Macaca mulatta: one gene and its partners. The protein of the gene in region 1 interacts with the protein of each later gene in a pairwise test. Links are inferred from orthologs where the notes say so. Each region holds a gene or a part of one and is shown in the gene's direction. Other genes may lie near its edges. The genes, in order: PPP1CC, CSRNP2 and CNST.

Region 1 (3,650 bases):
AGTGCAGCAGTTCTGCTGACACAGTACCTAGAGACTGAGCTATCAGGGATCTGATATTGATCAGTCATCCTGAAAGGAATACCATGTTACTTGGCAAGAAGGCATGCCTGGACATAATAACCCTTTCCACAGAATAAATTCTTAATTAGTTGAATTTTGTGTGAGGTTCTGGACATACACATATACTTAAAAATTTTATTAAGTTCAATTGAACTAAATATGATGCCAGTTTGGAAATTACTTAGTGTTGGCTGTCCAATTAAACTCTCATTACTAGAGGTCAATGCCATTGTACAATGAATTTTTAAAGAATTTCTTTCTAAAGCTTTGTTAGTGGATTGAGCTGTAAGTATGGGAACACTGTGTAACAAAATTCTTGCTTCTAGGTGACATCCATGGGCAATACTATGATTTGCTGCGACTTTTTGAGTACGGTGGTTTCCCGCCAGAAAGCAACTACCTGTTTCTTGGGGACTATGTGGACAGGGGAAAGCAGTCATTGGAGACGATCTGCCTCTTACTGGCCTACAAAATCAAATATCCTGAGAATTTTTTTCTTCTCAGAGGGAACCATGAATGTGCCAGCATCAACAGAATTTATGGATTTTATGATGAATGTAAGTACTTTTCTATATCTCAGGAAGTTATTGAAATTAAGATATTTATCATAAACAATTATCACGTACTTCTGTTAGGAATTGTGAGAGTTTAGATGCAGTGGTATCATCTCTCATGTTTTCTATTTCATCAACTTGTTTTTAACTTAGCTTTTTAGGGGAGGTGGGGGAACAGAGTCTCACTCTGTTAACAGCCCAGGCTGGAGTGCAGTAGCACCATCTTAACCTCATTGCAACCTCTGCCTCCCAGGCTCAAGCGATCCTCCTGCCTCAGCCTCCCAGGTAGCTAGGACTGCAGACATGCATCACCACGCTCAGCTAATTCATGTATTTTTTTGAAGAGATGGGGTTTCACCTTGTTGCCCAAGCTGATCTGAAACTCGTGGACTCAAGGAATCTGCCCACCTAGGCCACTCAAAAGTCCTGGGATTACTCGTGTGAGCCATGGCGCCCAGCCAGTTTTTTCTCTCTTGGGTAGAAAAAGAACACTGCCGCTATAATAAAATAAGGTCTTGGATTCTTTTATGATGTGATGATCAGATTAGGAAATAATGATCATGGTAGTGGTTTCTTTAAGATGTAAATTGTTGTATTCACAGATAACTTAATTCTTGGTAGAAATCTGAGAACCATTCTAAATAGTTTTAAGCAACTTTATTATGTAATTTCATTCCATAAAATTAATCTGTTGAAAGTATACAATTCAGTGATTTGTAGTAAATTTATAGTTAACGCGACCATCTCACCGTAGCCCCCAGGCAACCACTAATCTACTTTTTGTCTGCTAGAGAACATTGCATGCAAATAGAATCTTGGCAATGTGTAAATAATTAGTTTTTGAAATTATTATGGTTTTTCTCCTCTGGCATAACCGCACCCAGGAAGAATGGCAATAACTTTCCTAAAACTAAAATGTGCTGAACAAAGATTATTTTTACAGTATTTTACGCATTTTATGACTCATTTTGGATTGTTTATTTAAAGGTGCACTTTGATTTGACTATTGACAAAACACAGTCAAATAGGCTGGGCGCAGTGGCTCACGCCTGTAATCCCAACACTTTGGGAGGCCACGGCAGGTGGATCATGAGGTCAAGAGATCGAGACCATCCTGGCCAACATGACGAAACCCTGTCTCTACTAAAAATACAAAAATTAGCCAGGCGTGGTGTCAGATGCCTGTAGTCCCAGCTACTTGGGAGACTGAGGCAGGAGAATCGCTTGAACCCGGGAGTCGGGTTCAGTGAGTCGAGATCACACCACTGTACTCCAGCCTGGGTGGCAGAGTGAGACTCCGTATCAAAAAAAAAAACTTTGAAAATAATCAGTTTGATAAAGGGTTTTACGTCAGAAAAGGTTTTGAATCTTTACCTTCACCTTCCTTTTGTGCTTATTTCTGCCAGGAGGGGTTTCAGGTTTGGAGTGAAGGGGTGGTTAAGGAACTTCAGGTAGTTGGCATTTGCTAATATGATTATAGGGAGATCAGCAAAGTGTTGTCCCTGTGGCCCTCCCCTAGACCACATCCTAACTTAGAGTCTCCAGATGTGTGTTTTTCCATCTCAATTCACATAGATGCAGTGAGCTAGCACATTTGTTAGAAGTGCATCCTAGAAAGATTATATTCACAGACTGAGCCCTTCTACTACCACCCTTTCCCACTACTGGATGTTTGCTTGGTCTGTGTCCTTGAGATCCAGCTGGTAAGATGAGGTGGCAGGAATGATCAGGGACAAAAATTCTGTGGGTTCTGGACTGACTGATACCATTGAACCTGTACAGGAAAGATATTCGATATTAACAGGGATTCTGTGTCATAGAAGTACCAGTAAGCCAGTTACTACTCCTTAGGTAGTGAAATACAAGGCAGATGTGGTGGGTTTTTTTTGTTGTTGTTTTTTGTTTTTGAGACAGAGCCTTAAGCTGGAGTGCAGAGGTAGGATCATAGCTTACTACAACCTGTAATTTCTGGGCTCAAGCAATCCTTTCACCTCAGCCTCCCTAAGTGCTGGCATTACAGGCATGGGCCACCACACCCAGGCAACATTGTGTTTTGGATACTTATTCCAAGTGTTACTCTTGAGTTAAGAAAGGGTTCCTTTTACATAACTGTTAGCCCAGTAAATACTTTTCATGTTTGCACTGATGAATTCAAATCCATTTGACCTCATTGTTGTGACTTCTATCCTAACGTAATGATACTAGCTGCATCAGTTTCAGTTTCTACTCAATGCAGAGGCCTTTAAAATGACTTAGAAGATCAGTGTCGGTTGGTATCAGTTTCGACTCCTGTTTGATCATCAACACAGTTTATAGATCAAGCATCCTCTCTCCCATCAGGCAGATACAATTTGCCATCCAGTCTACTTGTGGGCATAAAAGTGCCCTTGACATAGGTGGCTTCTGGTTGAAGGCTTGCAGACATTTAGTATATATATTATATATATTAATTTTATTAAAATGAAAAGTTGTATTCAAATGTTGATTTTCATGGGACAATTTTAAAACCACTGCCTGTTTTCCAGGTACATAAGTACTTTATACTACCATTTCTTTTTTGTTTGTTTGTTTAAATTTTGCAAATGTGATGAAAAGGCTGAGGTATATGTTGTTGGGTAAAACAGGAGTGTTTGTTGATCCATTTCTGCTATCGGAGCTGTCTGATGTACAGTAATGGGAAACTGCATTACAGGTTATGGCTCAGAATCTTAGGATTTGGAAGCTAGACGATTTCCCTGGTTAAACCTTTTAGGACCCAGATGTTCCTAGTGGTTTGAGGTGGCCTTAGGGAGGATATGAAGAGAGAAGAGAAAGAGACAGCCCCACGCTTCAAGTGCTGAGAGGCAAAAGGAGGAAGCAAACTGATTTTTCATGGAGAGGCCAGCAGAAATCGGCAAGAGAAGAAACTGGAGTTTGTGGCATAACTAAAGAATCAAAGGCCGGGCATGGTAGCTCATGCCTGTAATCCCAGTACTTTGGGAGGCCAAGGTGGGTGGATCACTTGAGGTCAGGAGTTCAAGACCAGTCTGACCAACA
Region 2 (3,750 bases), about 60 Mb from region 1:
GCCCAGGCTGGAGGGCAATGGCGCAGTCTCGGCTCAATGCAACCTCCGCCTCCCGGGTTCAAGCTATTCTCCTGGCTCGGCCTCTCGAGTAGCTGGGATTAAAGGCACTTGCCACCACCCTCGGCTAATTTTTGTATTTTTAGTAGAGACGGGGTTTCACCATGTTGGTCAGGCTGGTCTCGAACTCCTGACCTCATGACCCGCCTGCCTTGGCCTCCCAAAGTGCTGGGATTACAGGCATGGGCCACCGCGTCCGGTGCCCTTTCTTAAAAATAGGTTGCGGAAGGGCAGGGTGGCTCATGCGTATCATCCCAGCACTTAGGGAAGCCGAGGCGGGCGGATCGCTTGGGCCCAGGAGTGCAAGACCAGCCTGGGCAACATGGCGAAAACCCCTTGTCTATTTAAATAAATAAGTTAGTTTGCAAACTTGAGATCATGGCAATTTTTTGTTTGTTTGTTTTTGAGAGGGAGTCTTTGCTCTTTGGCCCAGTTTGGAGTGCAGTGGCGCGATGTCGGATTCACGCCAGTCTCCTGCCTCAGCCTCCCGAGTAGCTGGGACTACAGGCGCCCGCCACCACGTCCGGCTAATTTTTGTATTTTTTAGTAGAGACGGGGTTTCACCGTGTTGGCCAGGATGGTTTTGATCTTCTGACCTCGTGATCCGCCTGCCTCTGCCTCCCAAAGTGCTGGGATTACAGGCGCGAGGCACCGCGCCCTGCAGCAATTTTTTTTTTTTTTTTTTTTTTTTAAGAAAACACTCAAAGCAGTTTCTCATGTAAGTAGATAACTCAAGATATTGCTTGATTCTTTATAACTTGGGCAGGCTGCAATAAGTCATATTGCTGAAGACTAAGACCCCATGAGCGAGGAGAAGGCGGGATCATGTTCCTAATGGCGTGTGGTACTGGCGAAAGGAAAAGGGAGCTTTGGAGGAGAATTCGTTTTTTAAGATCAGTAACTGAGAGTCTCCTCTCTTCCCCGATTAAAAGGTTGCAGCAGAGCTGCCGCCTCCGGAGCCAGTTTGCCCGCCGGCTTCGGCTTTGCAGCAGTCACCGCCTACAACTCCCGGCATGCTGCTGGGTGTGGAGCCGGCACGTAGACTCCATTTCCCAGCCAGCCCCGGGTCTCGGTCAGGACGTGCCGGCGCCTATAAGAGCCAGTGCTCTGCGGCCGGAGCCTATTGTTAGCCGGAGCCGGGGCGGTTCTGGGCGTCTGCTGCCGGGGGCGCCCGAGTTGCCGGAGCCGCCCGGCCCTCTCTGCCTGCCGGCTGGGCTGCCCACCGCCCTCCCTCCCCGCCCTGCCGCCCTGGAAGCTCCCCGGCCGTCGCCGCGGGGCCCGGGACTCGCTCGCTCCTCCCTCCTTCCCACCCGGGCTAGGGCGGCGGCGGCAGCGGGGGCGGCAGAGACCATCACGGGAGGAGGCAGCTGCGGCGGGGCCGGTAATGGGCCTAGGGGTGCGGGGCGGAGGGTGCCGCCTCGTCCTTTCTCGGGATCGGCCCTCGGGCGGCCGTGGAGGAGTGGTCAAGCCCAGAGCCGTGCGGATGGAGGGGTCAGAAACGAGAGGCTCGGACGGGAGCGGTCGGGGGGCGGGGAGGTCGGGTGCCGTTGGGAAGGAACCGAGTCGGGAAGAGGCGTGGGAGCGAGGGGCACGGAGGACGCGGGCCCGGACTGCGGGGGCAGCTCGCGGGAGACCGATGGGCGGCTTGGAAGCCTGCAGGATTGCGGATGAGGATTGAGTTCGGAATGGAGTGGAGAATGATGTGGGATGGAGGAAAGTGAAGGAAGGGGAGGGGGAACAGAGGAAAATGTGGGAGGAGTGGTTGGGAATTTGTGAGTAGCAGGCAGGAAGGGATGAGGAAGGCTGGGTAGGGGCTGCAGAGGATTGGAATGAGCGGGAAGGTTAGGAGGAATCAGAGGGAAGTCGACCGAGGGCTGAAGGGTTCGGAAGGAGTGTTCATTAAAGGGAACTGGTGACTTGACATATCCCTTCGCTCCTGTTCCTGATGTCTCCCGTGTTTTTGGCGTCGTGTGGGAAAATGAAAGCATCAGTGGCCCTGGTTGCTAGCTTGATCTTTTTTCATAGGCCCAAACACGCAGCCAACTGCCACCCTTCCCTTTTAGGGCTGTGGTCTTGATTCATCCTTTTAAAGGGGTTGAGAGTGACAGTGTGACACACAAACTGTTCTTCAAAATGAAATGCTAGAAGTTATCCCCACAAGACAACACTGTCCCCTTGTCCTGCAGTTTTCAGTTCAAGGTAAATCCATAGTTCAGATGTTTTCTTCACTGGCTTTCTGTCTTGCAAATCCGCAAAGCCAGGATGTTGGTTGTGCCGGTGTTATAAATGACTGGATATCCTTGAGAGTTAATGCAGCATCATGTTCCAATTCCCACAAAGATCTGTCTTCCACACGATGGTAGTTTAGGCATGGAAAATTCTAACCTTGTATTAGCGAATGGGTACAAATCAGGGAGTGGGGGTGGTGAGTGCACGGCTTTCTTTAAACACCAGGCTTAAGCCAGGGGTTTTCATTTGAGCGCTTTATAAGTTCATGATCCTGGTGATCACAAAGACACATGGATCCATGAAATCCATAGTATTTGAGAAACTACAGTATCTTGTAAAAGGAGAAACAGGGCAGGTTATTTTATTCAGGTTTATCATAACACAGCAGCAAGCCTTCCTTCTTCCAACCCAGCTACAGATGGTAGCCCTGACCATCTTACTGGAGATTGTGATTCCTTGACCTTTCGCAGAAGGTTGGGTTCCAGTCAAGTGAAGACGCTTTCTCCTGTGAGATGCAGCTTATTACTTTGGACTCATTTAAGAAGACACATATTACCTAAACTTTGCAAATAGATTATTCCAGAAAATTTTGCCTGGGCAGTCCTTCTTGCTGGTCTCTCATATGCTTTTTTTTTTTTTTTTTTTTTTAAATTTTATTTGTTTGTTTTGGTGGTTATAGGAATCCTTATAGTCCTGAAAAAAACTTAGATCTAGTACTAAAATACATATATGCTGGTAGACCTCTTTATTAGGTGCTAGCCTGATGTCTTCTATGCTCTGGATCTTAACTATTTCGTATACCATTGGGAAATCTTCAGCTAGAAACCCTTGAGAAGGCCGGGCGCGGTGGCTCAAGCCTGTAATCCCAGCACTTTGGGAGGCCGAGACGGGCGGATCACGAGGTCAGGAGATCGAGACCATCCTGGTTAATACGGTGAAACCCCGTCTCTACTAAAAAAAAAGTACAAAAAACTAGCCGGGCAAGGTGGCGGGCACCTGTAGTCCCAGCTACTTGGGAGGCTGAGGCAGAAGAATGGCGTGAACCCGGGAGGTGGAGCTTGCAGTGAGCTGAGATCTAGCCACTGCACTCCAGCCTGGGCGACAGAGCGAGACTCCGTCTCAAAAAAAAAAAAAAAAAAAAAAAAAAGAAACCCTTGAGAAAAGACCATTAGACATGTAGCCAGAAAGTGTCAACTGACCTTTCATTTCACTGGCATTTAAAAGCTTTAAAGAGGGTTGCGTTATTTTCTCCAAAAGCATTTGTTGAGTTGGTCATTTTGACAGTTAACTGTCAGTTTTTACCTGCATTCCCAGGTGCTAAAACTTAACAAATGTATCTCTTGAACACAGGCATTGATCCTCTACCAATGAATAATTGAGAGAGGTAGGAATGACTGATTTTTCTGGTTGTAGCTTGAAAGATTAATTTGATGAATTGGAAAGTATGGAAACTATTCTGTTACT
Region 3 (3,650 bases), on another chromosome or scaffold:
TTTTTTGTATTTTTAGTAGAGATGGGGTTTCACCGTGCTAGCCAGGATGGTCTCGATCTCCTGACCTCATGATCCACCCACCTCAGCCTCCCAAAGTGCTGGGATTACAGGCGTGAGCCACCACGCCTGGCCGGGTCTTCCCATTTCTAATTGAATGCAGCCTGCTTCTGCTAAGTGCATTGTATGGCTTATCAAAGGCTTCAACAATCCAGATGTCCCAGGAATAACCCTGTGAGGGAGTATGGACTGAATTCTCGGGAAAGAAATGTTGCCCAAGTTTCACCAAACAATGTTTTAAAGAGAAATGTTGACAATGTGGGTGACTCTCCGAATGTAGTTTGGAAATCTTGGCTTTTCCAAAATTATGGTGGAGTTTTTTTCCCCATATTTTCTGTAGTATTTCTAAATAATGGGATGAAGCAACCATTTTCAGGTTATTTTGTAAATAATACATTGTACCCATAGATTGTCTTTATTGCTTATCACTTAAGTGATATCTCAGTTCATTAGATACGATACTTTAAGCGGTTGTACTTCGTGACATAGCGGCCGTCCACCACCTCACCTCCAACTCATAAAATGGCACCTCAGACTGATTCTGTACCTTTTCAGTCACTTACTAATAAGCTATTAAATAGTCTCATTTTGATTATTTAGAGCTTAGCCCTATTCAATCCTGAACTTGATTTTCACACTTAAATCTCATTGTACTCAAAGCTCTTCTCCGCCCTCCAGTTGCCAGGGCTGGGAACACAGTCTGCTCCTGGTTGGAGTTCACTGGATTGGTGTTTATGACTGAACCCAGGTCGTGTGGTGGCTCCAGCAGGAGCAGCTACGGAGGAGGTTACCCCCAAGCTGCTCCCCTAGATATTTGCAGCCTTTAGGTAACTGACCCTCAGCTGGAAGCAACGCACCCCATTCCTCTGATGTGGGGGTTCTCTCTGCCCTGTGCTTTCACAGTGCCTGTGGGACTGTGGTTCCCAGTCTCATTTAGTCTCTGAATCCTGTGGACATGTTTCGAGGGACATCTTCTGAACCTTTGGGTACCTGGAATCGTGGAGGAGCGGCTTGGCCCCCTTTCCCCTTGGCTGTGGCCCTCACTGCTCTAACCTTCCCCCATTTAACAGAGGGAGGGGCAGACCAGCAAGCCCAGTGGCAAAGCAGACAACCAAAGGAAAGTGAAATGTGCCTGGGTTTTCTTGCAGCCTCACAAACTTAGAGTGATTCTTTGGGGTGGGGAGAGAGAAGGAAGGCTGTGTTCTCCCAAAGGTGACCACTTCTTCCTTCTGCTGATCCGCATCTGATAATTTGAGTCAGGGTGTCAGGGGAGGTGCTATGAACTCTACTGAATAGCTGCCTCTCAGCAACCCGGAGTTGAGGTGGCAGCCTCAGCACCAGATGCTCTGAAATCTGAAGCCGACGTTTCAGGAATGCCTTTTGCTTGACATGGTGTGGGCCTCAATTGTCAGTTGGTAATTAGTAGTAAAGTATCAATATGTTTTTGGAGTCCAGGGTGAAAAGGAAAGAAAAAAAAAAAAGAAAAAGTATCAGTAAATAAAAAAACAAATGGAATAAAATTATCATCATGTTTTCTCTTTTATTTTCACATTTGGCTCATTTATTTAAGTTAAACAGCATATTAGTATAAAAAGGATAAAACTTCTAAAATAGTTACGAATGCTAAGTGTACCAATAAAGCGAGAATGAGCAAGCTTCTCTGTTTTCTAGCCATCCGTGCACTGCTCCTTCATTATTCACACGGAGGCTTTTAACTGTTTCATTTTAAAGTGAAAGAAAAATAAGTTGGTTTTACTTAAAGTAGAAATTGAAAGAGATGTCAAAATTCAAACCCATTTCTACTTGTTGCAAAAACGTATCCTTTTTATTGCTACCCTTTGCTACCTCCCTTTAAGAAGTTGCAAGTAGGCCGGGCGCGGTGGCTCAGGCCTGTAATCCCAGCACTTTGGGAGGCCGAGGCGGGTGGATCAGGAGGTCAGGAGGTTGAAACCATCCTGGCCAACACGGTGAAACCCCATCTCTACTAAAAATACCAAAAATTAGCCAGGCGTAGTGGCGGGCACCTGTGGTCCCAGCTACTGGGGAGGCTGAGGCAGGAGAATGGCGTGAACCCGGGAGGCGGAGCTTGCAGTGAGCCGAGATCGCATCACTGCACTCCAGCCTGGGAGAGTGAGACTCTGTCTCAAACAAACAAACAAACAAAAGTTGCAAGTAATTTGCAAACACATTTATTAGTGGTATTATGGTCAAATTGTAAATTTTAACAGAACTGAGTTTTGTTCCTTTTATCTTAGTAAACCAGACCAATACTACTTTTCTTTGTTTGGTTGTTTTTTAAGACAGTTTTGCTCTTGTTGCCCAGGCTGGAGTGCAATGGCGCGATCTCGGCTCACCGCAACCTCCGCCTCCCGGGTTCAAGCAATTTTCCTGCCTCAGCCTCCTGAGTAGCTGGGATTACAGGCATATGCCGCCACGCCCAGCTAATTTTGTATTTTTAGTAGAGACGGGGTTTCTCCATGTTGGTCAGTCTGGTTTCAAACTCCCGACCTCAGGTGATCCGCCCACCTCAGCCTCCCAAAGTGCTGGGATTACAGGCGTGAACCACAGCACCCGGCCCAATACACCATGTCTTAAATGTGCTGAAAATAATTTTTCTAACTTCATTTTAATGTAAAAGGCTAATAAAGTTCAGAATAGCTTTTAAACCTTTGAAAATGACTTTTTTGATTATAATGAGGACTAAATGATTTAGTCATATTCACATGCTTTTGAATAATCCCTGTTCTGTATAAGGATTATTTACTAAATATTTTAGGTATTTCCTATACCTAAAGACACTATAATGCAACAGATAGAATTTCCATTTGAAAGGGTTAGAATATTGTTGTATTACACATATTCATAAGTCCCTTCTTTTCCTTCCCATACAAAGTGGTTTTTGAATTTTTAACAATTTATTTTTCTTCATCTTTAGAGAGTAAAACTTGTCTTGGCACAGAGCCAGATAAAGACAGCCAACGTAAAGAGGAGCCCGTGGGGAGCAGTCCCTGCTGTGGTCAGATGGACCAGCAGGCGGATGCCCCAAGCCTTTCGGTAACTGCAGGAAAGGACCACACGGAGGAGCTGCTCTGCCGCACTGAAGCCACGTTACCGCTCCACACCCAGTCCTCCGAGACAGCAGGGAGCCCGTCTGGGCCAGACTCTTCTGAGGATGCTTGTGAGGATGACAGTGGCTTGCAGCTGGCTCAGACGGAGGCCTGCCAGGATGTGGCCAGAATAGAGGGCATTGCTGAAGACCCTAAAGTGTTGCCTTCCAGCGAGTCAGCGACGGAGACATTGATTTTACCAGGCTGTGACCGTATACCTCCTGCATTGATTTCTGAGGGTAAATATTCACAGGCTCAGAGAAAAGAACTCCGTTTGCCACTTCGGGATGCTTCTGAGGCGTTGCCCACAGACCAACTTGCGAACAATGAATTAAATGAGCTGCAGCAGCCTGATCTTACCGACAGTGATGGAAAATCACCACAGGCACTGGCTGACTCACACGGCTCTGAGAATGTGCTCTGTGGAAATAATCAAATATCTGACCTAGGCACACTGCTTCCAGAGGTGTGTATGGCCCCAGAGGA

The links.
Region 2: the proteins of PPP1CC (region 1) and CSRNP2 interact in binary tests that used the Homo sapiens proteins (3 or more experiments, as listed by UniProt). The link is inferred for Macaca mulatta from reciprocal best matches to the Homo sapiens genes PPP1CC and CSRNP2.
Region 3: the proteins of PPP1CC (region 1) and CNST interact in a two-hybrid assay, tested with the Homo sapiens proteins (2 studies listed by BioGRID and IntAct). The link is inferred for Macaca mulatta from reciprocal best matches to the Homo sapiens genes PPP1CC and CNST.

What each region holds. Positions count from the first base shown.
Region 1 is NC_133416.1:117,908,503-117,912,152, reverse strand, and holds part of PPP1CC (serine/threonine-protein phosphatase PP1-gamma catalytic subunit), read left to right. Parts: intron 1-386; coding exon 387-617; intron 618-3,650. UniProt on the Homo sapiens protein: Protein phosphatase that associates with over 200 regulatory proteins to form highly specific holoenzymes which dephosphorylate hundreds of biological targets.
Region 2 is NC_133416.1:58,276,866-58,280,615, reverse strand, and holds the start of CSRNP2 (cysteine/serine-rich nuclear protein 2), read left to right. Parts: upstream 1-1,179; 5' UTR 1,180-1,438; exon of another isoform or gene 1,439-1,548; intron 1,549-2,120; exon of another isoform or gene 2,121-2,256; intron 2,257-3,750. UniProt on the Homo sapiens protein: Binds to the consensus sequence 5'-AGAGTG-3' and has transcriptional activator activity. May play a role in apoptosis.
Region 3 is NC_133406.1:2,415,584-2,419,233, reverse strand, and holds part of CNST (consortin), read left to right. Parts: intron 1-2,992; coding exon 2,993-3,650. UniProt on the Homo sapiens protein: Required for targeting of connexins to the plasma membrane.